Drosophila melanogaster: one gene and its partners. The protein of the gene in region 1 interacts with the protein of each later gene in a pairwise test. Each region holds a gene or a part of one and is shown in the gene's direction. Other genes may lie near its edges.

What was found.
Region 2: the proteins of CtsB (region 1) and CG13423 interact in a two-hybrid assay, tested with the Drosophila melanogaster proteins (one large-scale study listed by BioGRID).
Region 3: the proteins of CtsB (region 1) and CG14204 interact in a two-hybrid assay, tested with the Drosophila melanogaster proteins (one large-scale study listed by BioGRID).
Region 4: the proteins of CtsB (region 1) and Prosbeta5R1 interact in a two-hybrid assay, tested with the Drosophila melanogaster proteins (one large-scale study listed by BioGRID).

The regions. Positions count from the first base shown.
Region 1 is NC_004354.4:13,778,215-13,785,944, reverse strand, and holds CtsB (cathepsin B), read left to right. Parts: upstream 1-3,774; 5' UTR 3,775-4,015; coding exon 4,016-4,135; intron 4,136-4,211; coding exon 4,212-4,472; intron 4,473-4,618; coding exon 4,619-4,786; intron 4,787-5,294; coding exon 5,295-5,768; 3' UTR 5,769-6,098; downstream 6,099-7,730. Other genes in the region: amrt (amaretto), read right to left, coding at 2,772-3,446.
Region 2 is NT_033778.4:20,532,877-20,539,975, forward strand, and holds CG13423 (uncharacterized protein), read left to right. Parts: upstream 1-3,701; 5' UTR 3,702-3,812; coding exon 3,813-4,355; intron 4,356-4,416; coding exon 4,417-5,304; 3' UTR 5,305-5,388; downstream 5,389-7,099. Other genes in the region: CG30154 (uncharacterized protein), read left to right, coding at 516-576, 646-779; Bbd (bombardier), read left to right, coding at 1,650-1,716, 1,778-2,448; CG13427 (uncharacterized protein), read right to left, coding at 6,072-6,389; CG13428 (uncharacterized protein), read right to left, coding at 6,726-6,800, 6,869-6,937, 7,089-7,099.
Region 3 is NC_004354.4:19,581,591-19,590,694, forward strand, and holds CG14204 (uncharacterized protein), read left to right. Parts: upstream 1-2,026; 5' UTR 2,027-2,051; coding exon 2,052-2,349; intron 2,350-2,408; coding exon 2,409-2,781; intron 2,782-2,839; coding exon 2,840-2,913; intron 2,914-2,986; coding exon 2,987-3,302; intron 3,303-3,366; coding exon 3,367-3,583; intron 3,584-3,874; coding exon 3,875-4,056; intron 4,057-4,114; coding exon 4,115-4,586; intron 4,587-4,656; coding exon 4,657-4,956; 3' UTR 4,957-5,467; downstream 5,468-9,104. Other genes in the region: CG14218 (uncharacterized protein), read right to left, coding at 1-69; CG14219 (uncharacterized protein), read right to left, coding at 5,792-6,061, 6,122-6,572, 6,633-6,805, 6,865-7,081, 7,161-7,273, 7,332-7,534, 7,590-7,663, 7,741-8,095 and 1 more.
Region 4 is NT_033778.4:23,306,062-23,312,701, reverse strand, and holds Prosbeta5R1 (proteasome beta5 subunit-related 1), read left to right. Parts: upstream 1-2,885; 5' UTR 2,886-2,973; coding exon 2,974-3,123; intron 3,124-3,179; coding exon 3,180-3,977; 3' UTR 3,978-4,048; downstream 4,049-6,640.

The DNA.
Region 1 (7,730 bases):
GTTGTTGCCAGCGCGACGCTGGCTGCAGTCGGGCGTCGCTGCTGACGCCGCTGCTTCTTCGGATGCTGCGGTCGCAAGAGAAAAAAGTTGGCAACTTTTGATGTTTGTTGTTTTGGCTGTTTGTTTTTGTTTTTTTTTTACTTTTTTCCTTGGCTTCGGTTAACGCTTTTCACCGATCCGCTGCTTTTTGCAATATTTTATGGCTTTTATTTTCCACTGCTTTGCTACTTCGCTTGCACTTTAACACACAAAATTCCAAAACATTAAAAAAAAAAATATAGAGAAAAAACATTTCACGCTTGGCTTCATTAGCATTATTGTTCGTTTATTTGTTATTCGTGTTGTTTTCCTTTAACACTTTCTCGTTCGCGAAAGTAAAATTATACGGAGTTAGATGGAAAGAAGGAGAGATAATAGGAGCAACTAAACTAGCTGGATTCCATAGAATTTTGTTGTTTGTGGATAGCTATCATTTACGCGATTTCTACTAATTGTTGTTGATTGCGTTTTTAGAACGAAACCATAATTATCAACTTAAACTTGCAAATTACATTGTATAGCTAAACTTTTAGCAAAACTTAGCGACTAAATTGTCTTTTGGCCACTCGAAATTCAAACACGTTCAAGGAAATAAAGCACAGCTGTCATTACAAATGGACTTTCCCTCTAACTTTAGTGTACCAAGTACATTGGGTTAATGGCTCTATAAGAACATTTTTCATTCAGCGTTTAATGTGCCCATAAAAGTTAAGCTATGCTGTAATTTAAGCAGAATTAATTCAGTTTCTTAGCGTCTGGAAAACCGCGAAGCTATTTCATTGATCGACTTCAAAATTTAAAACCTATTACTAAGTGCTCTAAAAACTAGGCACCATTTAGGAGCCAACATGTTTGCCATTTATCTGATAGACTTGAGTGTTTCCTTTAGATTAAGGGGAACTCCGATTCAGGATGCTGCTAATTATTAAGGAAGCTACTGGATTCGCTTAATCTCGTTTTCATCGTCGTCGTTAGCCGAGTACCGAGTAACGGTATCGGATGGTATCGAGTACCGGTACCGAATGCCGAGCACCGTTAGGCAGCTGCTTTTAATGAGCCTGAACTTTCACACCGCTGCAGCAGAATGTAAAACTATTATGCACACTGCAAAAAACAAGCGCTGGTCATTCGCTACAATTACTAAAAAAAAAATAATACTATTTCCTTGAGAATAGCATTTTAATAAATTAGAAATTGGATCTGTGAAATAAGAAATGAACTATTAACCAAAAGCTATGTTTAAGAGCATTTTAGAAAACTTGAGAGAAATGCTCGATCGATTTGCAACTTTGTATTGATCAAATGGCACTATAGAGACCAATTCTACCTTTACATTTCTTTCTGTGTAGCGCCGACGGCCTTGGCGGCTAATTACCGGCGACCGGTAATGCGGTCGCTGCGCCGTCGACCCTGCGTGGGCGGCGCAGCCTTAATCCCGCTCGAACGGATTAAGTCGATGATGCTGGTATGGAATGGAATGGCTTCGGCTGCAGGTGAATCGATAAATGGAAATCGCTACTCCTCTCGCTCCCTCTCTCTCTCTCTCTGTCACTCTCTCTCTTTCTCCCACCCTATCTCCGCTACTCTTTGGCTTCTTCTTTCTTTTGCTTTCTGTTTACACTTATTTACCATTCAGTTTTTGCTGCTTTTCCGCTTTACACACAAACACACACATACACACATAGACGCGGTTATGTAGAACAACCACTAAAGCACCGTTAGTCTAACAGCATCCAAAGATATTCGAATTGTCTTGCCGCTACCGCTGCCGGCGTCGCAGTCGCTGTCTGCTTCGACGTCGGCGTCCTCATGTTGTTGTTCTTGTACTTCTTGTACACTGCTGCTTCCTCTTCCTTCCTTAGCTTTTTCCCCATGGAATTTGCACACACGACTTTGTGTTTACGTTCTTGTGCCGCGATTTAAGTACTGTTATAACTTTTGCCTGTCATCACTAGTTTGCTTTTTTTGTCTTGTTTATTTTTGTGTATTTTGCATAAATTCCCGGCTAACAATTATATATTTTCGTTTGTTTTATTTATGCACCGCGCAGTGCTTATTGTTGTTGCCGTTTCTTGCGGGAGAGATGCGACGCGCACGCAGCGTCGTCAATGGAGAAAAATAAAAGAGAAAGCGCCCGCTCAGCTCAGCCAGTCTCCGTTGACCGCGCGGTTGGCGAGCTTTCTTGCAACTGACTTTCGAGTTTGAACGCGAAACTTTCGATTTCCATTTCCCGATGGCGAAGGACGATAGCCATCATACGATAACGATAGCCCAATGGAAAGCAGCTGTCGGAAATGCAATGGATCCACTGAACAAATTTTGGAACAGCTGTGGCGCTACATTCGAATTGAACAAAATATACTTTAAAATTAAAAATAAAAACGATTGTGCAAAGTCAAAACGTCCCTTTTGATGCTATGCGGGCATTTTTGCACGGATCAAAGCTGTAGTTTTGGTGTAAGCTAAAAAAACAATTGGTTTAAGAGGCAGTCATTTGATTGTCTTAGGCATATAAAAACTATTTAACTGTACTTCTAAATATTTATTTATCCTTACTTTACATCTAATAGATATGTATGAAATTATTAATTTCAATGATTTTATAACAAAGGTATTTATAATGAAATAAGGGGCAAGTTAATTTAATTTCCTAACACTACGAATTAATCAGTGAACAAGATTAATCTTATTTAACTACTTAAAGCTATGACACAGAGGCATATCACACACGTCTAGACATAGGGATTCCAATTGCTGCCGTCCTCGGGCAGCAAATTGTTGGTGATCAGGAGGATGACGTCGATGATCCACCAAACGCCCACGCCGCCCATGGTAAGCAGTTTGCCCACAGCCGTGCCCGTTTGACCGAGACAGAAGCGATCCATACCGAGGAAACCCAGCAGCATGCTGTAGATCAGTGTGGTCACAAAGTAGTGATCCGTGTAGCGGACACAGGGCACTCCGGCGCGCAGAAAGGTGCGATTACCGTAGCACTCGATGTCGGCAAACACGGTGCACCAGACCATGGCGTGCTCCACCTCTTCGTACGTGGAACCACCGAACTTCAGGCATCCGTATTTCTTTTCCTGCTGCGCCGTGGCGTTCTCCCGATGATCGACGGGATCCTTGCAATCGAGAAAGTCGCGCGGCAGAAACGAGCACATCACATTCGGTCCCAGTGGATAGAAGGCCGAGTTTCCAGCTCCGCCCGAGGCGGAAGATGCCGAAGATGACGATGAGGAGGGTCCCATGCCGGAGCCCAGTTGCGCCTGAACGGGCACCACCGATTGCACCGCCGTGCCGGAGACCACAGTCTGCGGCTGCTCCTTGTCGCTGCGTGCCTGTATCGCTTGGGCATCGTGTTGTCTGGCCACCAGGAACGCCAGTAGTCCGTAGAAAATCCGCATCTTTGCGAGCTCCTTATCAAAATATAGCTAGCCAGTGTGGCCACACCTTAGCACAGCTAACAGAGCTCTGTTATCTGCGATGGCCTACCGATAGTTCTGATTTTAAGCACCACGACAACGAATGGAAATAAATAAATGCAAATAAACCACCTTTCAAGTAACAGTGCTCCTTAGCATATTTATTGGCATTAGTGTGATCGTAGTCTTTAGTTAAGTACATTTAGTGAAGTGCTATTTAGTATAATGCGTTTATTTATTTCAGACTAGTTACCAATCACGCGCCCATCTCTACATTCGATAGGCAACGGCCCTGTTGCATTGGTGTGCACACACTGGCCGCGTAATCAGCGGGCGCGAACCATTTTTTTTTTTTTTTGTGCGACAGAACAAAAACAAGAGAATAATAGACGCTTAAAGAGCATTACCCGTCCGAATTTCACGGGCAGTACGAAAACAAGAACGGAGCAGAGAGCCCGCTTAATACGACGCGTCATTTTCCACCATTTTACTGCTGTGATTTGTTTGAATTTTGCTGTGTCAGCGCATTGGAAATTCGTTGGACAAGAATAATGAATCTATTGCTCCTGGTGGCCACCGCGGCCTCCGTGGCGGCACTCACGTCCGGTGAGCCGTCACTGCTCTCGGATGAGTTCATCGAGGTGGTGCGCAGTAAGGCCAAAACCTGGACGGTAAATTCCTTTGTTTCCAACCCTTTTCTTGCTGACGTGACAAGAAAATTGCATTTTCCCGTTTCCTATCCGCCAGGTGGGTCGCAATTTCGATGCATCCGTAACGGAGGGACATATTCGCCGCCTGATGGGCGTCCATCCGGATGCGCACAAGTTCGCACTGCCCGACAAGCGTGAAGTTCTTGGCGATCTATACGTGAATAGCGTTGACGAACTTCCCGAAGAGTTCGATTCCCGCAAGCAATGGCCAAACTGCCCAACCATTGGCGAGATTCGCGACCAGGGTTCATGCGGCTCCTGCTGGGCCTTTGGTGCCGTGGAAGCCATGTCCGATCGCGTACGTAGCTTACCTTATCGATATTATAACCCCTTCCATTCTTTGTTTGTCCAGCTGATAAATTTCCCCATTTTTTTTTATTATTATTTTCTTTTTGTATTTGTTATCAATGATTTTTTTTTTTTTACTGATTTCGCAATGGGCAGGTGTGCATCCATTCCGGCGGCAAGGTGAATTTCCACTTTTCGGCCGATGATCTCGTCTCCTGCTGCCACACCTGCGGATTTGGCTGCAATGGCGGTTTCCCCGGCGCCGCCTGGAGCTACTGGACGCGCAAGGGAATCGTCAGCGGAGGACCCTACGGATCTAATCAGGTTGGTGATCTTCTCCTGCTTTAATGGGATTTTGCAAATCATATTTAGTTTGGTTTAAAAGGGCTTGCAATTTGGTTTTGCTTGCAGATGAGTTTCCAATAAAAAAAAGGGTTTGTTTTCTAACGAAGAAAAACATACTTTATGTGCAAAAATAACCTGTATTTGTACATATTGTATTTCTACGCCGAAATAGTTAGAAAGCAACTTGATTTTGTTCTTTGTTTACTTGAAGTGAACTGAAGACTCAGTTTACGACGCCATAAAAAATTGTATACCACAGATATCGCTAGAAAGCGGCTTAGTATATCATATACAAACATCCATATACACAAAGCTATATGTATATATATCATATACGAACATCTATAGATATACATGCATATATTGTGAATGCACTCCAGATTCGCGTACATCCTCAACGATAAGTTTTAGCTGCTACTAACTCATTTCCCAGATATAGTAAGGCAAACAGAAGAAAAAACGATTCTAATATGCACTTATTTTGCAGGGCTGCCGTCCTTACGAGATTTCTCCCTGTGAGCACCATGTGAATGGAACCCGACCACCATGTGCCCATGGCGGTAGAACGCCCAAGTGTTCGCACGTCTGCCAGAGCGGTTACACCGTCGATTATGCCAAGGACAAGCACTTCGGCTCCAAGTCGTACTCGGTGAGGCGTAATGTGCGTGAAATTCAGGAGGAGATCATGACCAATGGACCGGTTGAGGGCGCCTTCACCGTTTATGAGGATCTCATTCTGTACAAGGACGGTGTCTATCAGCACGAGCATGGCAAGGAGCTGGGCGGTCATGCCATTCGCATTTTGGGCTGGGGCGTTTGGGGCGAGGAGAAGATTCCGTACTGGCTAATTGGTAACTCGTGGAACACCGATTGGGGCGATCATGGTTTCTTCCGCATCCTGCGTGGCCAGGATCATTGCGGCATCGAGAGCTCCATTTCGGCGGGTCTGCCCAAGCTGTAAATGTTATATGTATTCCGGCATCAAGCTGATATATCAAAACCCCTCTATTTTCTATCATCCCTCCTTTTATTTTCATTCCGATTCGCAACTGACGTTTGTAGTTAATGTAAACAACCTAAACCTGATTGATAATAAAGTATTGTATATGACTGTGGAACTGTACTTTGCTCGTATACAGTGGGACCTCTCTAACTAGAAACAAGGCAAACAAAAAAAAGAAAATGATTATCAAACTGGAACTCAGATATAATTAAAAGCGAATAATACTATTTGTGAAACAATGCTATAACTATCCAACTATAAACTATTGTTTAGCGTAGCTATGCCTTTTTTATTTAATAGTAGAGATTAATAGTAGAGAGTATCTGATCCTCTATACTATGTACACACATTTAAATGGAACGCCGTCAATCGTTCAATCGTTAAACTGGCTAGCTGTATGTTTTGCGAGTTATAAATGTGATTAGCATCGCATTTGATTAATCAAACAAAGAGTACAGCTTGCAATCGCATTCGTCATTTGGTGCGATTTTGTTGAGTTAATTTATTATTACATTAGTTAGCTTGGCCATACATACATACATACATACATATATGTACATACATATGTAAAACTTATCTCGTTGAAGCTGCCCACAATTTGCAGCACCAAATGTCCATTCAAATTGTACACATATTTATTCACATAACATGTTTTATTTATTTTTCTCATTTGCAACATCAAATAGAACATTTGTTTTGTATTTTCAGTTTTTTTTTTGTTATCTTGTCATGAACCAACCGCTTCTCTTATCGATTTTCTGTGAATTGATTGACTGGTTTTGTAGCCACTCTTCTATTCACCGAAACTCGATATTTTTCTAACAAACAGCTTACATCGAAAAATATTTGTTACTGCCACATTTCAATTGGTTTACTCTTGTTATTTGTCATATTTCAATTTCAACTGTTGGCTTAAAAATCTCTTAATTTTGGGTAGGTTTACATTATATATCTATATATATATATATCCATTTTCGTGGAATCAGCTCAGCTTAATTTGTTTTGGTTTGTAATTCTTGCTTTGCTTTTATTTTTAGGATTTTGTAAATAGATTGCATTTGGCTTGCTCCTCATCTTTTTTATTTGTTTTGTTCATCGGTTTGTAGATTTTTTTTGTCAATAAATAATTTCATAGTTTGTTCGCTCTTCTTAGAATTTTTTACATACTGAATGCGTGTATTCGTTATTCCTGGACTTTTGCACTTAAGACTCGTAATTAAAATACATAACCATATGTATGTATTTTCTTATGTACGTTAATATTGTTTTCAATGTTTTATTCTTTGATTATTATTTTCTGCATTAGTCATCGTCGTTTTGTATTTCGGGGTTTTTAGCTTATCATCTAAATGGTGGGTTCTCAAAATATCAATGCAATTTCGCTCGACGCTTTATTGGCTTTGGGGATTTCTTATTGCGATAAAGGAGTGAAAAGGTCTAGTTACATAGATGTCTATAAATTGCAAAGATAAATCAAGATATGAAATATTAGAAACACTTAGAGCAAGCACTAAAATGCCATTGTGTGTGAAATTTGAATACGTTTTAGTTTTCCAGTTCTATTTCCGCAGCATATTTCTGCTTTAGGTGGGGAGTTTATATTAAACACAACACGAAACTAACAGATAATTCCAATTTTCGAAACAAATAACGATTATCTCTCGCAAAACTAAAAGTGATATGGAGCAGTTTGAAACACATAAGATAAGCTCAATTTTGCTATTCTGAGAAGTTGAACGCATTATTCATTTACAATTAGATCTAAGTTGGAAAGGAAAGTCGGCGTGGACTTATAGAAAATGTATAGCAAAAATGCCCTTAATGTACCAGCTACGTAGACAGACATAAACCCTTTTTGACCTCTATGAGTATCTGGTGTGTTATTTAATAGGAGACTTGCGTCTAAATATCGTTTTACCT
Region 2 (7,099 bases), on another chromosome or scaffold:
GCCACATGGCGAAACTTCTTAATTACCCGGCTATTGTGCGTCTACACTGAAATAAATATCTACTGAATGACTTAGTTAGTGGCGTAAATTAGGATTATTTTACTTTTTAAATTATATGCAAAAGCGAATATAAAAAAATATTTTTGTAAAATATAATAAATAACTTTTGACACTTTAATCCTGTTGTATATAACCATAAATTTCTCTGAGTGCATTCGACAGTGGTGGCACGATGGTTTCAATGAGAATTAAAAGAGTGCAAAGAACAGAAAATTGCATTATGCATAAGTCGCTAGAGCTTAAGCCATTATCGAATCCCTCCACGTATCCAAACATGGACAAATAAAGATACAGAGAATGCCACTAAGAGAGGGAGTGAGAGCGAGAGTCCAAAGCAATCCAAGAGATACGATTCGAATAAGAGATAGAGCGCTACTTGGCTATTGGAGCCGTATAAAACAAGTGTGTCCATATTATGCCCCATCATTGGAACATTGGAACTCCTCGGCTTGATCATGTACCTACGTCAACAACTCTGGGTTCTCTTGCTCTGGCTCTGCTTCGTCGTTCTCAGCGGTGAGTGGTGTTCTAATATCTATATCTATTATCTATATTTTTATAAACCCACATTTGTCATTTGTGAAGTGCATGGCATGCCGTGGAAATGGGGACCTGCCTCCAATTCTGGACCCCATGGCGGACCCGCCTGGAATGGCGGAGAAGAGTCCACCGACAATATAGTCATCCATTCGAAAAACAGCGGCAAGTGGCGTTACTAAATTTATCCAAGTGGCAGAGGCGTGACCACAACCAAGTCAAGCTGGATTTTACAGTAAATTTGTGAATAATTTTACAACTACTTTGCTTCGCAATTGATTTTCGTCGAACAGTACTCGATTTGTATGCTAATACTTCATTCATGGTCACACTCACTTATATATAGTCACTTTAATTGTGCACCTTTTTATCTATGACATTTAAATATAACCCTTTACTATACTGTATGTAATAGAGCCAAAATATTTAAACGAGATTAAAAGCCTAATATTGCAAATATGAATATGAAGATACAGTTTATACGGCTTTTGAAATTGTTTCCTGAATCTAACTAATATTGCAATCGAATGAACAAACCGAAATAATCTACGAAATTATAAGCTATTGATTGATATTGATTTTATTGATAAGTATGCAAACGAGCTTATGGGAATTTTTCAATTCTGATCGTCATAACAATATCAGCACGTGTTTTATAATAATTTTTTCAGAATGTTGCAAATCGCAGCGCACCCAACTTTTCAGTTTCTATGGCATATCTGCGTACTTTTGGCCTGGCTAAAAAGCGTTCTTGATTTGACACAGTTCCCCCCACTCTCTCGATCCGTCTAAATCGAGAGTGAATTGGCAAGCCGGTGACGAAGTGCCTCTGTCGCTCAACCGCAAGTAAACAAAACAAACCCGTCGGTGGCAATTCCCGGTAGACTGCACCGCTGACCTCCTCCGTCTTATCTGTTATTGCGCGAGAGTCACTGTCACTGAGAACCGATCTCATAGAGTATATAGAACGAATACGGCGCGATGAGCCGATATTTTTATGGGATAGTATAAATAGCTGGCATCGCACTTGGCATTGGCATAGTCAATGCAAAATGGGCTCGAACACTGGAGCTTGGATTCTACTGGGCCTGCTGGCCGGCATCGCCTCTCTGTCTAGCGGTGAATATATAGATATACTTTGTATGTGCAGATAGAAAAAAAATAAATTGTATTTTTATAGCTGCGAATATACAGCGAAATGAGGACCAGACGATTCTTCAGAACAATGGAAACACCTTCCTATCAAACGGAGCCGGGCAAATCATTCGTGGACCCGATGGCAAAACAGTATTGATCGGATCCGATGGGCGCAGGATCATCACGGATGCCGACTCCAGCGAAGAGGACAGCTCGCACGATTATGGTCACGGTGGGAGCTATAACAATGTTATCATCAATGGTGGCTCGGGATCCAGCGTAATTCATGGCGATGGACATAGCTTCATTGTTGGAGATGCGAGTCATGGAAGTTACATGAACAGCAATGGACGCAGTATTAGGATCATAAATGGTGCCATCGAACTCAATGATCACGGCCAGGTGTACACATTCAGGCCAAAAGCAGCAGGCATTAACGAAAAGGAAACCGTCACCATCAACGGACAACCGGCTCAGGTGGAGTACTCCAATGGTGATATAGTCATCGAACTGGCCGATCATACGGTGATTGCCAAGATAGGTGGACGCACATTTCTGGGCGATCGCGAATCCTTCGACAATCGGGATAAATTAGAGGCGGAGGCAAAGAACTATGCCGATCGTATCCAGCAAGAGGTGCACGCCAATCTCCAGAAAACCATGGCTGATATTCAAAGGGATCTTCAGAATTCCCTGGGAAATATTTTCTATTAGAAGCCAAGTAATCAATCGTACACGAGTCGCTCGAAATAAAGCGCCTTTGCAGCAATTGTCTTGACTTTAATTGTCTTATCTATGGTTTACAAGCTAAGATGTTCTAAAAGATACATATCTAGTGTGTAATCCAAGTACAACAGACCCCAGACATGAGGCGTCTTTGGGCATAATCTTCCCATTTGACCGGCCTGAGGCCACAAACGTGTGGGTGGTTAGGTCAATTAATGGGAAATGACGCCCGGCAAATGTGATTGATTAGCGGGAAACTCACCGTATAGGCAGCTTATGGGGCGGCTAAATCTAATGCTTAGTATCGCCTAACAGACTAGGTTTGTATGGGCGTGTGGCGATTGGAATACAATTACCGAGCTTGCGGCGGTGTTTATGAACACTTCTTGGTATTTAAATGACGGAATTTCCCAACGAATCTTCGTAAATAAGACCAAGGTCTCTTATTCTTTATATTTGTGTTTTCCAAGCTAACTTAATAAATTCTTAATTAATGGCCTTGATCTTTTGTCAGCCACAAATTGTCTAATTGCATTGCTGTATACATTTGCTTGTTTATGAAAAATGCTTTTAATTGAATTAGGGTGGGTCGAACGAAATTTCTGCTTATTTTGTATTTCTAAATCGAGATTTGAAATTAAATTTCCATCGATGTTAAATCTTAAATTTCTATATCAGGTTGACAGTTATATATTTAATAAACTGCTACAAATTTGTTAAGTGAGAATGCTATAGTCGACTTGGGCAAATCGATAGAAATTTACAAGACAAATAAAAATATATAAAAAGTTTTAGTTTTGGGCGGCTTGTCGGCGTAAGAGGGATCGTTCAGAATGTGTAAGGTTGATCTAGAGCTTGATTTGCAACCCATAGTCAGTACAAACCAAGTATCTTATCTGTGTCCTTGTTGTCCATTTCGAAGATTGATTCGCTGCCATTTCCCATTTTCAAATTCAATGTCAATTCTGTTAATATGAGCGGAATGAACGCAGTGGATGGATATGTGGGGTGAACTTTTTATCTTAATGACTTTATTTATAGGCTGAAACTTAAAAGCGAAAACAATGGTATTCAAGTTATGTGAAGCAAAAATATCGAACTGCGCGCGAGCAGCTAGAGATGTGTTTTTTTTTTATCGATCCGGTATTTGATTGATAAATAATCGATTGTAAGTGGACACGTGCCCAAACACGTTGCGTTTGACAACTGCTTTTCTATCCAATTAATTGCGATAAATAGACGAAACGAATTCGGACCGAAAGATAGGTCTAAATTTATAGTGTCTATTCCTGCGCTTTCTAATGTCAACCACTTGAGATATTCGGAATAAGATCACTCGTCAAGATACGAAAATGAGCTTTTTGTTGACCGAACCGCAGTGGTCCGCCTGGTACTCCGCCTTTTACGCGTCTTCGATGAATCGTCTGGCCCAGAATGTGTGCACCGCTCAAGATCCCATCACTGTATGCCTGCGATCCGAGGCGGACTTATGCTCCGTTCCGTCAGGTGTGAAAACCTGGATAGAGTTGAGCAGGCAGGGCAAGGCCACTACCGGTGGTCCGGGATGGATATGCACGGGCCTGGACCTGCTGTGCCAGGAGATGGACAGAAAGTTGCCGCTTCCACTGGACTTTGAACTCTCCGCCGCACATTTGTTTTTCTGGCACAAGTTGGAGCGATGCAACTACTTCCTGTGGACGGTCGCCGATCTTCTAATGCGTTGCGAACCGCTGGATGGGCGCTGCTTTCGGAATTTAATTAAGAACCCAGTGCCAGATGGAGGCAACTGGCAAATGTTCGTTAATCTGGTCAAAAAATACGGAGTTATGCCCAAGAAATGCTACCTCCACTCCACTCAGCGAACTACAAAAATGAACCTCATACTGAAGAGTAAGGTTGGTATTTTGTATTGTACTGAATATTATATACATATGTATATATTTCCTTCACCTAAAGCTACGTGAATATGCCAGCATGCTGCATGCTCAGTTCACCTTTAATGGGAATGGCTGCCGTCTCCCCGATCTCATTCAAGAAATGATTCCGCATCTCTTCAAAGTAATATGCATCTGCCTTGGTGAACCTCCCAAGGTTTTCACCTGGTCCTTCTACGACCACAAAAAGCGTTACCAGTGCCTGAATGATATGACAGCGGTCCATTTCTACGAAGTTATGGTAGGCTGTACGGTGAATCTAGACGCCTTTGTCTGTCTGGGTCACGATCCGCGAATCTCATCCAGCTACCATAGCAACTATCAGGTTGCCAACAGCTCGAATATGATGGGCGGAAAACCTCATAGGTATAATAACCAATCAATGGACATCATAATGCAGATCATGGTGACTTCTCTGGAAGGTGATAAACCCGTTTGGATGGCCTGCGATATTCGTAGAGCAATCAGTTTGAAGTCCGGTCCATTAAGCCTGAGATCGCATCAATTTGATTTGCTATTTGGCTTTAAAGTGGGCGAGTCGCTCACCAAAGCAGAGAGACTTGACTACAGAGCATCCCGACGGGATGCAGCCCTGCTCCTTACATCCGTTGGATTGGACACCTTGAAACAGCCCGTACAGTTTCGCTTCATAAATGCTTCTACAATTGGCGAGTCTCCCGCCACCGGAGGTCTTAATGAACACGATGTGGACGAAAAGGTTACGAAGGCATTAAGAAAGAAGTCGGTCAAACCACCGGATAACAAATTGGACGCCGAATGGTTAAGGGAGTACGCTTTTGAGATTGTAGTCCACGAAAAATTTGTCCCATCGGGTGTTTTACATGCCGCAAGGATACATAAATGGAAAGAACTGCCTGCTTGGGATCCCATGGGCGCATTACTTAATTAAAAAATTGTTTAGAACCAAAAAAAAAATCTTTCATAAGAAATACATTTACTACATTTTATTTGCCTTCTTGAATAGATAAAAACTAAATCCATTCATTCAATTCAAGAAGAAAGTTCAACAACAATGACAAATTTCAAGTATTTTTCCGAACTGTGGGCGTGGCAACGTGAAATAAACTTGCGCTGCTTAATTTCAACTTTCTAGCTTTTATAGTACCTAAGATCTATCGATCGTGATCATGAATACTTGATATGGTCGAAAACGCTTTCTTCTTCCCTTTTACCCTTTTACTCTACGTGTAACTACGAGTATAAAAACAGTCAGCACGATTGAGTTTTGTTGTTTGTTGAAAATAGTTTTAGTAAGTAGTGAACAATTGACTACACTCTCGTTTAAAGTGTCCCATTTTTGAGTTTCCTGCGAACTCTTGTGCCAGCCGCCAATCGCTTGCATAAAATTATTTAAATATCCCGCAACGTTGTGTCCTTTGTGGCAGTTGTTGTCATCGTCACCGAGGCGCGACCTTCACTAAGTTTTTCGGGAATCGCTCCTACGTGCCCGGCATGACTAATTAGGCATTAGGGAGTTCTCGACAAGAGTTGTTGGCGCGGCCAGCAAAACGGCGACTGTTTTCAACTTAAGGGATTTGCTACTCTAAGGAATTTGCCATCGCACAAAATAAAGAACAACAAAATTAATCTTTGACTTAAAGGCCAGGCGTCTTTATTTTATTAAATTCGGTTACAAATAGCTGCTTAAAATACGGTCTACCAGTAGCGTCGGCCCTGGTTGTAGTACGGATAGGGCTGTGCGTATCCGGGGTACTGTCTTGGAGCCACCTGCTCCACAATCACTGGCTGCACCACCACGGTCTTGGGCTGGAACAATTTGCTCAGGAGATGGCGTGGACCGCGTATGCTGTTAGAGACTTGGTCTGCCGACGTCGGGGGATCTGCTGCTGCGGCCAGTGGAGCAACATGCTGCATATCAGCTGGCACAAGAACATTTTTATCGTCGTTATCAGGAAATGCCAAAACCATCGCAATGGTGAGGCTGCTCAGCAGAAGAATGGCCACGAACTTCATCTCGAAAGGTGTGTGTGCGTGTTGTATGATCTGTTGGCAAATGTAAACTGATTTCCGAAGAGCACAGACTCACCTTAAATAGGAGCAATAGATGGTGCAGGTAGAACAGGTTTTCTTCTCTACCTGTCACAGGATTATGGCCCATTATCCCGAGAGCAGCTGCACAAGGTGATTAGCCCGTTGAATTTCCCAGAAAATTACCCTCTATGGTTTATGGTTAATGGCTTAAGGAAATTCGGGTGTGGTCATTTTTGGAATGCTTCAAACTACTTTTATTAGCTTCGATGTGGTTCCCAAATACATGCACAAACGCCCAACTTTATGCTTTACATTACTTTAGAGAAGGAACTGGGGTGGTGGTGGAAGGCCGTCCGGCGGTGGTGGCATTCCAGGTGGAGCCTGACGACGTTGCTGAGGATGGAGGAATAGTAATGGGTTAAGGATCACTCCACTTATTTTGAACAGCGGACTGTGCTTACTCTGAACTGCGGCGGTGGTGGAGGATCATCATTGGCCACGAGCTTGTCCTCCAATGTATCACGACGGGACTGGAAATATTTCGCAAATTATGTATTAATATATATATCAATATTAATTTGCCAATTAAAAATAAAGTAACAGAAAGGCCCTTCGATATACGGCCGCAACACAATTGCTTATATAAATGTTCTAGTTTTCTACATTTTACTAAGTTCTTACTCGGAATTTCG
Region 3 (9,104 bases), 5.8 Mb from region 1:
GGCTGAGATCAGCGCCAGGAGCAGGCCCACCAACAGCAGGGCCATCAACTGCAGACGTAACATCCTCATCCTGACGGATCAAAGAGTATGTGTGTACCGCTCGAAAGGCCGTTCCAATCAGAACTGGCGCTGGTCAGCGCTGGAGTCGCCTGCCTGTACTCCAACGGAGTGGTGCCACGCGGGCCTGGGCGTCGCGGATTAAGTGCCCCCCCAAAGTCAACTAGTTAGACGGGTTAGCTGCGACCGTCCGCCTGGATCTCGTAATCGCAGACCCCGCCGACTGCCGGCGGTTATCAACGAGTTCAGTGCGTGGCAACAATTACTTTTGCACTACTTTTGCGCCAGTTTATAGATCGTAAGTGCAGCTCGAACTATGCATAATGCTTAGCGGCGAGTGCATTTTAAGAGGCTAAACAACACGCACCGTGGGACTAGAACTCCATATACCCACCTATATATATACCATACATACACATAGCATATACCATATAGTAGAGCTGCCTCCAACATAAGGGATTGATATACACAAGGGAACTAACTATCTGCAAGCTCATTAAGTATCTATACTATTTAGATTGTTCTGTGTCGAGTACGAATCTACATGTTTTAAAACCCTAACAAAATATCAATAATTCACAGATAAGTTTCCCATAAGATAGGGAAATCATTCATAGATTGCTTGTTTTATAATTGTAAACTCAAGTGGTTATATACCATATACAAACGTATGTATGTACATACTACCAATTTCACTTGAACTTGTGTCAAATCTCATTCCTCAAAACAGTTCAAATGTTCAACAATGAAGATTATCTGAATATTATAGGTGTATTCGATTGGGAAAGATTTTACGAACAGTGGGCGCTTACTAATTCGTTGACTAATTCGTCAAGTTTGTACCACTGTGCCGAAAAAGAGGGGCTGTCACGATTTGCTCTCATAATAATATGAATTTCAATTTCGGTTTGGCTGCGGCTGTTGCATTTGATTTTCAAGATATATTTAATCATTTCCAGAGTAATTAACAGCTTTTGGTTTTTCAAGCATTGGCGCAACTGGACAATGGTTAGCAACTCTCGTTTGCAATTCGCATTCGCATCGGAATTGGGTGAAAAACCAGTTTAGACCTTCGATTTTCCGAAAGTTTTGACCAAAGTTTTGACACTTGCTGCCTGAGTTCTGCATGTAAATTAGATTTTGACTGCTGTACCGGTTGTTCAGGTCTTTTCAAATAGGCAACTATGCATAATCTAATTTAAGTCATAGTTACTTATATACATATATAAAAGTACCATTCAAAACACTAACTTTCGCGTTGGCAATGCTGGGTATCTGATAGTCGGTTCGGTTGCATTTGGCGTTCCTTCTCGCTGTAACCTTGATGTATTGCTGTTGCATAACCAAAAAATGCGAATCTGGTCCAAAATTCATACGAAAACCAGTCGGTGCCACACCCCTCCACTTTTGGCTGGGAACCTAGACGAAAGTGAAAACTCGTTCGAATTTCCATTTTCCAGCAAAAGCTGGGAAAACCTGGAAAACACAGGATATCGAGAAATAAGTATTGCATGTCAAAATCAAAAACTGGACAAATCTCTGTCCCGAAAAATGTCGGAATTGCAGACACAAAAAAAAAAAAAAACGACAGACAACTGAGCAACAATTTGCTGAACATTTCGTTTGAATACCATTAGTCATGTTGTATGGAAAGCCAAATCGCCTTTTAATCAGCAGCTAAGTTAAGTTAAGTATTCTCGGGAAATTCGACAAGGTAGAGATGCTACCGAAACAGCCAAATCCAGCGGCTTATCTTTCCGGGTATTCATCCGAATCGCAATAGTATTAGCCACGTTAAGAGTTCGCTGCCCTGATTACCAAGGGTAGCTATGCCTCCGATTATTGGTAACTATTCTATTGTCGGAGGCGCAGATAATGAGATAATGAATTCTCGATTTCGAATGGGAAATGCACAGCAGGATTTGCCTGTGTATAAATGGGCCAGGGAAGGGTGATTCGCTAAACAGTCGTAAACTAGGAGCTCCAGGCGAAAGATGATCAAGCTATTGGCTATATTGCTTGCCATGGGAATGGCGATGGTCCAAGGAGCGCTGCCGACCCAACTATCAAATAATCAATGGACACAACACGATGTGTCCTCCATGGCGGATTACGAACGGCTCCTGGATCTGCGCTCCCTGGCAATGGAGTTCTATCGCGAATTTCGGAACATTTCAACGGCGGATGTGCATCTTCTGGGTGAGCGGATTGGATCACAAGATCTACAGTGCCTGGCCGATATGGCCCAGTTTATGAGTGCGCTTAGTGCGCCCAAGGCGTGGGCCCTAAAAAGTGGGTATTACAACATCTTCAACTTTGATGCCATTTGAGTTTATCCCTTCTATGCGAAGTGCTCGACGCGTGGGGCACCATTCCATCGGGATATCTCATTGGCAACCGCGTCGACATGGGCAACTACAGGGAGTGCCTGTCCGAGGGCGGAATGCTCACCTCATCGCAGGACATCCAGGGAAAGTACTGCTTCATGGAGCTGCCGGTTGCCAAGTGGTTGGGTTTCACTTCTGAGCTGCTGGCGGTGACCAACATAAGGACTGCTGTGTGCCTGCCTTCCTCTTGCTCGGCGGGCACCATGGAGCTGTTCCTCAAGCAACTGCTCAAGCGGCTGCTTGGCGTCAGTGATCCGACCAATTTGTTTTCCATCAGCGAGACGTCGTGCAGAATCAAGGAGAAAGCACCCTGGGATGGGCTCACCATATTCACAGTGTGAGTAGTGTCTTGATACATCCTAGCTGATCTATCCATACTAACTGACTACCATCAGCGTTCTACTGTCCGTATTTGGTGTCACGGTTATCCTGTGCACCCTCTACGACTACTTCTTGTGTCCGGAGCAGGGTAAGTAGCTGACATAAATCGGATAACAGCCTATATGTATGTATATGTACCATATATCCATGTCTACCCGCAGAAAAGCTACCCCGTCCCATCGGCGCCTTCTCAGCCCGTGCCACTTCGCGTTCGCTGTTCACCATTGTGGAGAACACGGCGAATCCGAATGTAATCCACTGTCTCAATGGCATGCGGTGCATGTCCCTGATCTGGGTAATCTTGAGCCATGAGTACATTATCAACATGAAGGGTCCCGCCATCAATCCAGCGGACAACCTGCGATGGGCGACGCAACTCTTCTCGAGCTTCATACTCTACGGTACCTTGTCGGTGGACACGTTCTTCTTCATCAGCGGCTTGCTGCTGGTTTCAATTGGCCTGCGAAGCATAGAAAAGTGAGTCAACTTGTACAGGGATTAATCCGATCTGTAGGCAGGCTAACATTCTCAATGGCTCCAGAAACAAGGGAAAGCTAAATGTGCCGCTGATGTATCTGCACCGATATCTGCGCCTCACTCCGATCGTAGCCGTTGCCATACTGGCATTCTACAAGATGATACCCCTCATCGCAGACGGCCCAATGTACGATGATATCGGCTTTTTCGACTACTCCGGGTGCAAGATGACCTGGTACTGGACTCTGCTCTACGTGCAGAACTACGCAACATCCGATGTGGTGAGTTGAATGTCCAAGTTGATCAGGAGAGGTGGACAAGCCCATCTAGTCCGTCCGTATCAGGATGGATCTGTATCAACCTTATATACCTTAGAAGTTACAATAATTAAAAGTGTTTAGTGGCTTTACTGCGAATAGGAGATCACTTCGATAGATGGCGCCTGCAGCACTAGAATTGATCGTTGGCGCCATCTATGTAAGTTCGGTGGTACCATTGCCATTGCAGTTGGAGCTCTTGACTATATCTGTATATTTATCTATCTAATTATTTGATTGTTGGTTGCTCCTTAGTGCGTGCCGCATACCTGGTACTTGGCGGTGGACATGCAACTGTACATCCTGTCCCCGATCCTGCTGATCGCCCTCTACAAGTGGGGCAAGAAGGCGGCCGGAGGTATCCTGGTGGTCACTTTGTTGCTCTCCGCCTGCCTGTTTGCCACCATAATGGTGAATGACTTCCCTGTGATGTTCAAGTAAGCCAGTCGCGCCCGCCGTTTTGTGTCCCCCAATGCTAATTGCAATTACTAACAGGAATGGAATTCAGGCTCAGGTGGTTCAGAGGAAGATCTACACCGCTACGCATACCCATGCGGCGCCCTGGTTGGTCGGTACTATGTTCGGTTATCTCCTGCACCTGATGCGCGGCCGAAGATTCAAGTTAAGCCTCCTGGCTACCTGGGCAGGCTGGCTGCTCTGCCTGGCCCCGCTCTTCACCTCGATCTTCGCCTTGTATCCGTACTCCAAGCTGCTGGGCAAATCGCCCTCAGTGTTGCAGGGAGCCCTCTACTATACACTGGTCCGGATCGCCTGGCCCCTCGGTCTCTGCTGGGTGGTCTTTGCGTGCATGCAGGGCTATGGTAGTCTGGCCAACAGCTTCCTCTCCTCTCCACTTTGGCAGCCGTTGTCCAAGCTCTCCTACGGCGCCTACATCTGGCACATCTTTGTCGTGGAAGTCGCCAATAGAAGCGTTCAGACCAATACGTACTTCTCCAACTATCAAGTGGTAAGTGTGTGGCAGGCAGGGTCACTCGACATTCCTATTGGACTTGAACGCTTCATTTCCAACTCCATAGATGCTCAACTTTTGGTCCACCTTTGGCTTTACCCTGCTGATGTCCTACGTGCTCTACGTTTTAATTGAGGCGCCTCTGGAGGCCTTGGAAAGAATTATGTTTCCCAATCGCAGAAGCCCGCCAGCAGCAAAGGATCAGCTGCATATCGAGTCCCGAACGGAAGTCGTGGACCAGATGGACCAGATGGATCACATGGACGGGATGGATCAGGTGGTGCAGCACGAGAAGCGCAGTGATATCCAGCCTGACCTGGAAACGAGTGCCAACAAAACAGAGACTGACCTCGAGTTATCAAATTAGACTTATCAGCTCCTATTTAGCCTTTATTAAAACGAACTACTTGTAATCTAGGCACAATTAACTTAACCACGGGTCTAGAGTTACGATGGAATGAATGGTCCTTGAGTTGAAAAGTCTTGCACTTAAGACGATATCAGTCGTTATCTGGTTGCGACTTTTGCGACCAGGTGGGTTTCGAATTAGTCATGAAGGTGATTCCCGACTTTGGCTTGCTGTAATGGGCACACAAAGATTTCAATTCTGACTCACAGAGGCGATGCACGCCCCATTCAGTTACAGAAAAAAAGAAAAGAAACACAAAAAAAAAACAGAAGGAACGACTTTGTCTAGTGTCTCGACTATCAGATATGTATGCACCAAAGCGTTTACAAGTTTTTCAGTTTGATAAGAGCCAAATCTGTTGATAATTTACATTCCATAGATTACGTATTTGTATTTGTATACTTGACTTCCCCACTTTGCTGACCATGTGTCTTGACTTTCATCTGCGTAGTGACGAAATGCTATGTTTATAGTCAGGAAATTGGAGAATTTGCTCTGATAAAACGATAAAATCAATCGATTGACAAACCAATCGAAACGTATTTATTAACATTTTAAACTTGTATTTTGGATGCTTAAAGTGGGCGGGGCCAACATGTTGTGGGCAGATCGACAGAAATGGGCAAGCCAAATAATAAAAGTAGGCGTATCTGCGTTCATATGGATGGACATGGAAGTATCGACTCGTCCAGTGATTCTGATCAAGAATATCGGAATCGCTTACCGTACAATGAATTTCGAACACAGTTTTAATACTTTACGTAACGCATGAAATCATATATTTTAAATGTAATTATACTAAAACGTTGCTCTTTTCGGGAGCAGCCTGAATAACTTCGTCGGGTATCGTGGATATCGCTTCCGCAGGCTTACCTACTGGAGATTCTTCGACTGATGCCTTCACCTCCGACATCCTGGGCTCCACCACCGCGGCCGGCTTGGCATTTGGCCTCTTTGCGGGCAGCAAAAGGCTTTCCAGACCGGCGAATGGCGCTTCGATTAGGATATGCATGAGGTACGAGAACAGAATCGTAAAGCCAAAGTCCGTCCAGAATCGAAGCATCTGGAGATAGGGGGATTCTTAGAATGGTCAACTCCGCGTACAAGGGAACATGGTACCTACCACTTGATAGTCACTAAAGTAGGTACTTGTGTGCGTGATTCCACCGTTCAAGCTCTCGATGAACATGTGAAAGATGTAGGCGGAATAGGATAGCCTGGACAGCGGCTGCCACAGGGGAGAGGATAGCAAGCTGTTGGCCAGTCCTCCGTAACCGTGCATGCAGGCGAAAACCACCCAGCAGAGACCAAGGGGCCAGGCGATCCTGGTTAGGCTTACGTAGAAGGCCTCCTCCACAATGGGCAACGTGTTCTGACCATAGATCGAAAACAGGCAGCTGGCTATCAGTGACAACGCAATCAGCCATCCCAGGAGGACAGCCAGGCGGTTCAGCTTGAAATCCTTGCCCCGGTTGGTATGAAGAAAGTAGCCGAACAGTATGCCAATCAGGTAGGGAGAAGCACGAGTCTGTGTGGCATAGTAGAGCTTCCTCATCGAATCACCGCCGCTTCCTCTGCAAATAAGAGAATTGTTCTGAATATCTTACATATAAGTATCCCTAACATCCACTTACAGCGATAAATCATTGATGACCATGATGCTAAAAAGACAGCCGGCCAGCAGGAGCATCAGAACAAAGATTCCGGCAGCCGCCTTCTTGCCCCACTTGTACAGGCAGATCAGGAGGAATGGTGCAAAGATGTACAGCTGCATGTCCACCGCCAGGTACCAGGAATGACTTAGGCACTGCGAGAAACCGTGGGTGATATAAGGTGATACAAAATGTCGTCATCGAAGGACCCTACCAGGCTATCAGTCGCATAGTTCTGCACATAGAGTAGTGTCCAGTACCAGGTGCTCTCACATGCTGAGTAGTCATCAAAGCTTATTGATCCTTTAAGTGGCCCGCTTTCCCACAGCGGCAGGATCTTCATGTAGAAGAGTATGGCAATGGCCAGGATGGGCGTGAGTCGCAGATACCGATGCAAATACATTAGGGGTATATTCAGCTTTCCCTTGGTTCTGGACGGAGTAACAACACAATGTAAGTGAGTAATTGAGTAATTCAAATGATATCCCTATCATTCAAGTCACAACTCACCTATCCATTGATCGCAGGGCAATCACCACGAGCAACAGACCGCTCAGGAAGAAAAATGAGTCCACCGCATAGACCGCATGTTTTACAAACAGACTGTAGAATGAGTTGATCCACTAAATAATGGGTAATTATATAGAACTTTTACGTTTTTCTTTTACTCGCCCAACTTACCGTCAGAAGGTAACCCATATTAATGTTGGGCGACGTGGCAAGCACCATATAGTCATGACCGTAGACCACCCAGATGAAGGAAAGGCATCGGATCCCATGAAGACAATCGATGACGTTGGGATTCGCCTTGGTGTCCACAATGCGGAATAGGGCACGCGAGTTAGCTCGTGCCGAGAAGGCTTCTACCACTGGATGGATGGTTTCTACAAGCACGGACGATTACTACGGATTCAAGGATCGCATTCGCGAAGAACTCACTCTCATCTTTGCAAAAGAAATAATCGAAAATAGTGCAGACGCCCACTATAGCACCCAAGATCGAAACGATCACTCTGAAAGTTTACGTGTTAACCAAATCTTAGACCATCGTCGCATCCATCATCTCTTTATGATTATGATCTCTACTTACATGGTGAATATGGCGAGGCCATCGTACGGTTTCTTCACTGCGGTCTGGCATGTCTCCTCGGCGACGATCTGCACATCTGCATCAATCTCCACGGTGAGCAGCTTCTGGAAGAGCCTTCGGAGCATCGTATCCATGTTAGCGGCGGAACAGGTGGCCGGAAAGCAGACAGCTGACTTGAGAGCTAATATGGGCAGCAGACTTGGAGCTGGTGTCAGTTTGGTGATGCAGTACTTGCCCTTGATACTGTGACTGCTGGTCACAGCATGGTCAATTGCAATGCACTCGTCGAAGTTGCCCAAGTTCCACCAGTTGCCCGCCAGCATTCCCGAAGGCAGCAGGCCCCAGGAGTCAATCACTGCAACGGAATCGAAACGAAACTGAGGTACAGAGAGCACCTTGGGTACGCAAGCCTCACTACTCACTCTTCAGGGCCCAGAATTTAAAGGACGATAGGTCCTTGGACAGGAGCGCTAGATCCGCTAGGCACTCGAGATCCTGCAACGAGGGTATCCTCGAGTTCGAGTTCGCCGTGAGATCCTCTAGAGTTACATTGGCGTAGTGCTCAAAGAACTCCACTGACAAGCGTCTGGTGTTGAAAATACTCGAATAATGATCCCCACCAGCAATGTGCTCAGTGAGCAGTTTCGTATTGGTCATGGCAAATATGTTGGTCATCTGTGCATTAACACTTTTGGCCAAAGCCAAAAGGCCCAATCCCAGGATAAACGCCAACCTAACCATGTTGCTCTGTCTGGTGGCGAAATGAATTTGATCGGATTGCCAACGCGCCTGGGGGCTTATATTCGCGGCACTTCATGGTCCGTCATTCTGCGATTAATCCATAACCATAACCATGGAACGCAAAGTGTTTTAAAATACGCCCCACACGTTCAGCGCTGATAATCAATTCTTATCTATAGTCTCCTTTTGGTGTTAACTTATGGTGCTGATTTATTTAAGTATAATCTACACATGCCTGTCACTAACTTGAATCAATTTTAGAAGATATAAAAGTAAAGTATTAAAGTAATTACAACCGGAATAATTGAGAAAACTTCTTGATTTCGAGACGAAATCGATCTCAATGTTGATATTTGCAGGCACATGATTCGATCTTGGCTAGATTTTGAGATCGAAGCTATCAAAGATTATCATTCCAGTTACGCATTGTAAATCCTAAGGACTGTTAATCGTTTTATTGTTTGACCATCTTGATTAACCACACAAAAAACACTTTGCATAAACTTTGCACAATTCATTGTTAAGATATAAGGATTTATGAAAAAAAATTCCTTGAAATTCTAACCTATTGTATATTCGGTTCAGGATCAGCGACTCCAAGAATAGAAACTTGCGTTGAAAAA
Region 4 (6,640 bases), on another chromosome or scaffold:
GTTAGTCGTTAAAACCTACAAGAAGTTCTGCCCCTCAAGATGTCGATTCCTGGCGAGATGATGAAAAAGTTTGAGCGGTTGGCCGGGGAGTTTGTTTTATGGCCGCACTTCGGGAATTACTTTCCATTTATAAAATTTTAATCTGGCCCATAAATAAGCATTGCAATTGGACTTCGTGTACTTTTTGCCCGACTAATGGACTGTTCTCAGGCCAAAGTTTTTAATTTAATGCATCATCGTAAAATCCCGCACTTTGTTTGGCGTACAAATATTGTATTGTAGTTTGCCCCACTGGTTTGTATCTGACTTTGATGTCGGCGGATCAATGTGGATCAACTTTTTCATAAGCAGCACACGTAGACAAATTTAATGTAAATTGAATGGAAATTAGAAAAGCGTGTTTTATTGTATATGCTTCAGGTGAATACTTAACCTGAAGGTCATCGAAAAGAGATTTGAGTGGAAACTAGCTTAATGATAGCTACTATTGATTTTTTGATGTGCATTATTTTGGAAAAGTCTGGGCCGCAAGTGAATACGACGGCCTAATCCATTTGGCGGGCCTTTTTCAATTAAAATAAATTAAACGCAAATGTCAAAACTGCTTTCGGGGAATCCCCCGCCGCCGACCGTCGCTCTGTCACAATTTGGGCAGCTTTGGGGCTTTGACAGGTCCGCGGGACAGATGATGAACTACAAATTGGACGGCGGTGGTTGGGTGGCTCACTGAGATCGGTGGCTTGGTGGGTGGTGGGTATGATGCCCCAGTCATGGGAAAGTTTTGCGTCATTTTGGGAGCAGGCAAGTCTGGTTGGTTGGGCGCCTTAAGCAAGCTTAAAAGTTGCTGGCAACAAAGTTGGTGGGCTGAGTTGGCGAACAATAAGCAGTAAAACAACGGATTTGAAGGATTTTGAAACAATAATGCTAAGCGGCAAAAGTAAATAAAACGAAAGTGAAATAAAATATTCGCCGGCGAAAGTCCCTAAAACGCTTTTTGCTTACGTGCGCCTTAGTTGAATTTTATTTTAACAATTCTCGGCGGAGTTTCGTTTTTGTAATTCGAGAGCTTAAAAAGAAACTCTTTGAAAAGATTCGGGGAATATTCCTAAGCTTGTCAACAAGGTGGTTTATTTTTTATTACTCAGCAAAGTTGCCTAAGTGGATTGAGAGCAAAGTTATTCAATGTTTAGTGTCTATTAAGCAACTCGCTCATCTTGCATAGTTCATCTATTGTATAATAAGGCTCATGTGATTTCAAATTGTAAATAATTAAGAACTATGCACCGAATAAAAGGCTATTATTTTGGCTCTCAACTAAATCCGATGCCACAAAATCGTGCTCTTGGTCCAGCGCTGCAACGATTCGCAGACGGGAAGCTCAAGTTTGGCCTAATCTCTTATTCGCTCTTGACTTGGCGTCATTTTAGTCATTAAAACAGGTTCAGACTGAGTAATCTGCCAGCCACTTCAGGCCAAAAGCGAAGGGAATGGCCAGATTCTTCCACTACGCTGCCTTAGTTAGTTGCCCTCTAATAAACTGGCAGCGGAAATTTTTAACAAGTTGTTGCCAGTGCACAAAACTGGGCTGTAATTAACGCAGGACAGATGCCGCGCAGGGCAGGGAGGGGGAAATGGGGATTCGGGATGCAGGATGATGGTGGCCAGGAGGAGCTGGTGGAGTAGCATCGTCTGGGTTAGACGAGATTTTGCATATCAGATTGCTGCCCCGGCTCCAGTTTGTCCCTGCCCTGTGATTTAATAATCAGAGCTGGCTGTCAAAACTATCCAGCAACTGCAGCGCTGCGAAAGAATTGTCATATTTGTTGATAAGCTGAATACCCTACAGCAATCTAAAGTTTATATAATAAATATATACAAAATATACCGACAAACCTTAAGTATCCAATTGGATACTTAAATAATACTTAATACTAATACTTAGACTTAACATTTAGATAGTCCAGTAAACTATTATGCTTCGTGACCAATAAAATAACAGTGAGTGGTTTCATGTACTCATAGTTAGGGTATGTTTGGATGAAGGGCTTAGCCAGCTCGTTTCTTTTGCCTCGATTTTTCCTTTCCAGCCCGCCTTTCTCCGAATTGCTTCCGCCCCCTTAGTTTTCCATTCGAAGGGCGGGGGGAATGCAGGCTGCAATGGAAAGCGCGTGCAAAAATGAAATGTGCCAATGTGGCGGATGGGAGATGCGGAATGGGGAATGGGAAATGGAATTCGGTGGTTTGGGGAATGCGGAGGCCAAGTCCTCGGCAATTTGCATAAATTTAGATCAGTGACACATGGCGTCCACTAATGGAGGCAGTGGGAGCAGCCGGAGTGACTGCGACTGCCACTGGGATGGGACATATATCACGGGGGGTATCAGGCCAGTCGACCCGCGGACTCAAACAGTTTGGCAAACATTGCCAATTGGCCTTTAATTAGCGGCTAATCCGTTTGCCACCGCCTGCGAGTGGGCGTGGTCACTGCGAAAGCACCTTCTATGCCATTCCCCACTCGTTTTGGTCCCAATTTCGCATCTCGGCAGGTGGCGATGATGACCCTGCCCGGCAGTCCAATTAAAATGTCGTGTATCTCTGCGGTGGCGCCACTGCCACTGCCACTGCCACTGCCCACAGAAGGTCCATTGGATTCCACTTGGGTGGCCGGCGAAAGTGCCGCTGCGACCACTCTCACCCACTAACCATGAAATGCCAATGGAATCGGAGACTGCGAATTGCCGCTGCGGATTGTCCAGTGGAGCGAAACTTTCAAGCGGAATGCGATATTTTGATGGGAACAAGATGTCCAGCTTTCTGATCTTGTGATCTTGTTTTGATTAAAGTACATTTTTGATACACTTGTAAGATGCCTTAGAGACTTAACTCCACAATCATTCGAGCTCGTTTAGTGTGCTCATTTACACATTACACTAAACTATTTATTGGAAATAATAAACTCTTTTTGAACACATAATGGCTCTGGAAGCGATTTGCGGCATGAATAAAATGCCTTTTATGCGGCGCTTCGATGACTTGCAGTCCGAATGGCAGAAGGAGCAGCTTCGCGAGGCAACCAGTAATTTTGAGAATCCCTACGAACTGATGGCGCCTCCCTTCGAAAGAGTTAGTATAGGTTTCATAATCCAAAAGATCCATCTAAGATTGAAACTCTTCTCAAGCCCGCTGAAAATCTGCCCAAGATCCTGTCGCACTGTGGCATTCGCATGGATTTCGATCACGGCACCACCACTCTGGGTTTCAAGTATCGCGGAGGAGTGATTCTGTGTGCTGATTCTAGGGCCACCTCTGGCCAGTATATTGGATCCCAGACGATGAGGAAAATAGTCGAGCTGAACGACTATATGCTGGGCACATTGGCCGGCGGAGCCGCCGATTGCGTCTACTGGGATCGGGTTTTGGCTAAGGAGTGTCGCCTGCACCAGCTGCGCTATCGGAAACGCATGACCGTGGACACGGCTGCCCGGATCATCTGCAACATATCCACGGAGTACAAGGGCATGGGTCTGGTGATGGGCATGATGCTGGCCGGCTTCGACGACGAGGGACCCAAGCTGATTTACGTGGACTCGGAGGGCATGAGATCCCATGGTCAAGTCTTCTCCGTGGGCAGCGGTTCTCCATATGCGCTCGGCGTATTGGACACTGGGTACCGCTATGATCTCTCCGATCAGGAGGCCTATGACCTGGCCAGGCGAGCGATTTACCATGCGACCAGTAAGGATGCCTATTCTGGTGGAATCGTGCGTCTCTACCACATTCATTCGGAGGGCTGGCGAAATATCTGCAATACGGACTGCTCCGATCTCCATGACTCGTATTGCGCATCTGGGTGTCCGGGGAACGAGAAGGATGTAGGAAACGTAGGCGATCCCGACAATGATAAGCCCTGTTCCAGTGGCTGGACGAAGAAGAATATCACAGCAGACAATTTGCAGACTAAGCTGGCAACGGTATGAAAATTTGGAAATTATTGGAGCAACATTAGCAAAAATTTCTGTGGAAGTAAAACTTCTGTCGTGCAAAACGTATAAAGTGTTAGTGTTTATGGTAATGGGAATTTGTGGCAGTGAAGAAGTCCGGAATTTATCGTGAGAATAGTTTTCCGAACCGTATGCTGGATTGTTCTATCTAATCCTCTTCAGTTCTAAAAGCACACATACAGATACATTTCAAAGTTTTAGCCACTAATAATGAAAACAAGAGCTGCATACATACAAATGCCTTTCGCCCCGCACTCGCCACACTTTAAAAGCTGTGCTTCTATCTAATTTTTTTCACTCCTCAAACTCCCCTCTCTTCCATCCTCCACTGCGGAAAATATACGAGCAACTTTCGCTCGCTAAACGAACTTTTCCTATAAATCAAAATAATAACTTCTAAGCTCGCAATGACTTTCCCCAAATGGGCGTGCCGCACACAAAATACGGCCAACGAAATGTTCGCCGAAATGTTGCACTCCGTGTCTTTGGGTTGTCATCAACAAATGTTGCAGATGCCACTGCCTGGAGACTCCGTCCGGGGGATCTGCTCCTCACTGCCCATCCCCTCCCCCTCCCCCGCCGGAAAAGCGCAACCGCAGACATTAGCAGGCGTAGGTCATTCTCTCCCAAACGCCCCACTGGGTGGTGACCCTCATCCTCATCTTTATCCCCATTATCGTCCTCATCCTCATCGGGATCTTCCTCCTCCTCGTTGCACGACTGTTAAGGCGCTCTGAGCATGCGATAAATTTAATAAATTACAAACCAAATCCGCAAATTTGTTGAATTCCAAAAGAAGAGGAAAGAGCACCAAATGACTACACGGAGGAAATACGAATATTAAATATATTATTAAGCAAATATATCAAATGCACAAAATGATGTGCAAGTAGACATAACTCTCAAGAACGGTATTTTTGTAAGATATATAATTTGTGCTATGCACTATAACTTTTCTCTCAGTGCTTAAGGAGTTGGTGGTGGCAGCATTTGCACGGCGTTTTGGGCACATGTGAGTTGCAGAACGTGTGGTGAAACAGCTGGATTGTGGGGGGGCTGGAAGGGAGGCGGAGCAACATCGGGCCAAAAGGCGTTTTGTGGCAAAAAGTTTTACTGTAAATTGCTTTTAATCTAATGAACGTCGCCAGCAGGAGCTGCAAAACTGGGGGGGAATGGAGACAACTTGCCAGCCCCCAAGTCGTCCTCGAGAGTCATTTTTCCTCTGTGGTGTCATTAGAAAATTACTTAAAGCCAAAGCCGTGTGGCCCAAGTTCGGAAAATCCTCATTGCGGGTAAGTGGAGCAAAAGTGGCGGAAAAAATGTTGCAACCCGGGTTAATGGGTCAAAACTATTTTCCGGCAGCACTAGATTTGTGTACTTACTTCCATGGTGGCAAGAAGTGGCCACGCACAAATTTTCCAAACGCGTTGAACAACAAAACGTAGAAGTGTATTAAATTTCTAATATTTTAAAATGCCAAAGGTTTTACTCTTTAAAGAGTGGACTTAAAATTAAAATTTTCAGTTTAACTACCTGGCTGCAATCTCTACTGAAAATCGCTGTGCGAAATATTAGCATACAATAATGAAGTGGTTGTTTTCAAAATAACGCAAACTAATTGATAGTATCGATTTTCCCAAATTAGCTGGTTTCCTTCTCCATTACAAAATTCGCCCCAGCCTTCAGCTAATATGGCATAAAAAGCTTGTCGAAAAAAAAAAACGCAGCAACCATAATTTAAATTAATTTGCAAACAACAAGAGCGGCAGCAACAACAAGCTGCAACACCTGCGATGTTGCTGCTGCGCGTTGTTGCTGCTGCAGTTGTTGCGTTGTTGCTGCTGCTGCTGCCATTCCACTTTTGTCAACGAGCTCAAATTCAATGAAATTTCACACTTTGTCGTTAAAAGCGCGCCGCTTGCAAGAGGTGGAAAGTCCGGAGGGGGGCGTTAACTGTCAGGCATAAGGATGCAAATATGCAAATGGATTTTGCTACGGAGCGGCGTAGGAGGAGCAGGGGGAGGAGGAGGTGCATCCGAAGACGGCGGAGATCGTAAGAGTCTGCCAGAGTGTTTGACAAGCAAGCGTGACTGCTCGCTGGGCGGAGACTGGCGGAGTGGGCAGGGATGTTGCCTGCCGGTGATGATGATGTTGCCCCTGTCACCGGCCGAAGCTGCAGCAGCAACACTTGGCCAACAGCTACACACACACACACATAGATGGCGGCTCGGGAGACAGCGGATGTGGCAGCGATGCCTCGTTTGGCAGTTTCATTAACCGACTGCGGAGGGGCAGCAGGCGATGGGTGGCTACACGACACCAGGCCAACTGCAACTGCAACAAGAACAGCAGCAGCAGAAGCAGCAGCAGCAAATGCAAATGCAAATGCAACATCATCGCCCATATTAGGAGCAGCAGCTACAACAAAATCAGTGCACAGCGAAAAACTGAAGGGGATATATATATAAATATTTAAGCAATATTTAATAGTGCCCAGAAATGGAGGGGGTTTTGATGATTCATATGGTTCAGAGATTGATTGTCATGGTATCGATGTAAGAAAGTACCTATTCATAAGAAATATTCTAATAGATTTTCCTTGTACAAGTTGACAAGGTATTTCTTGCAGTGCAACAGCA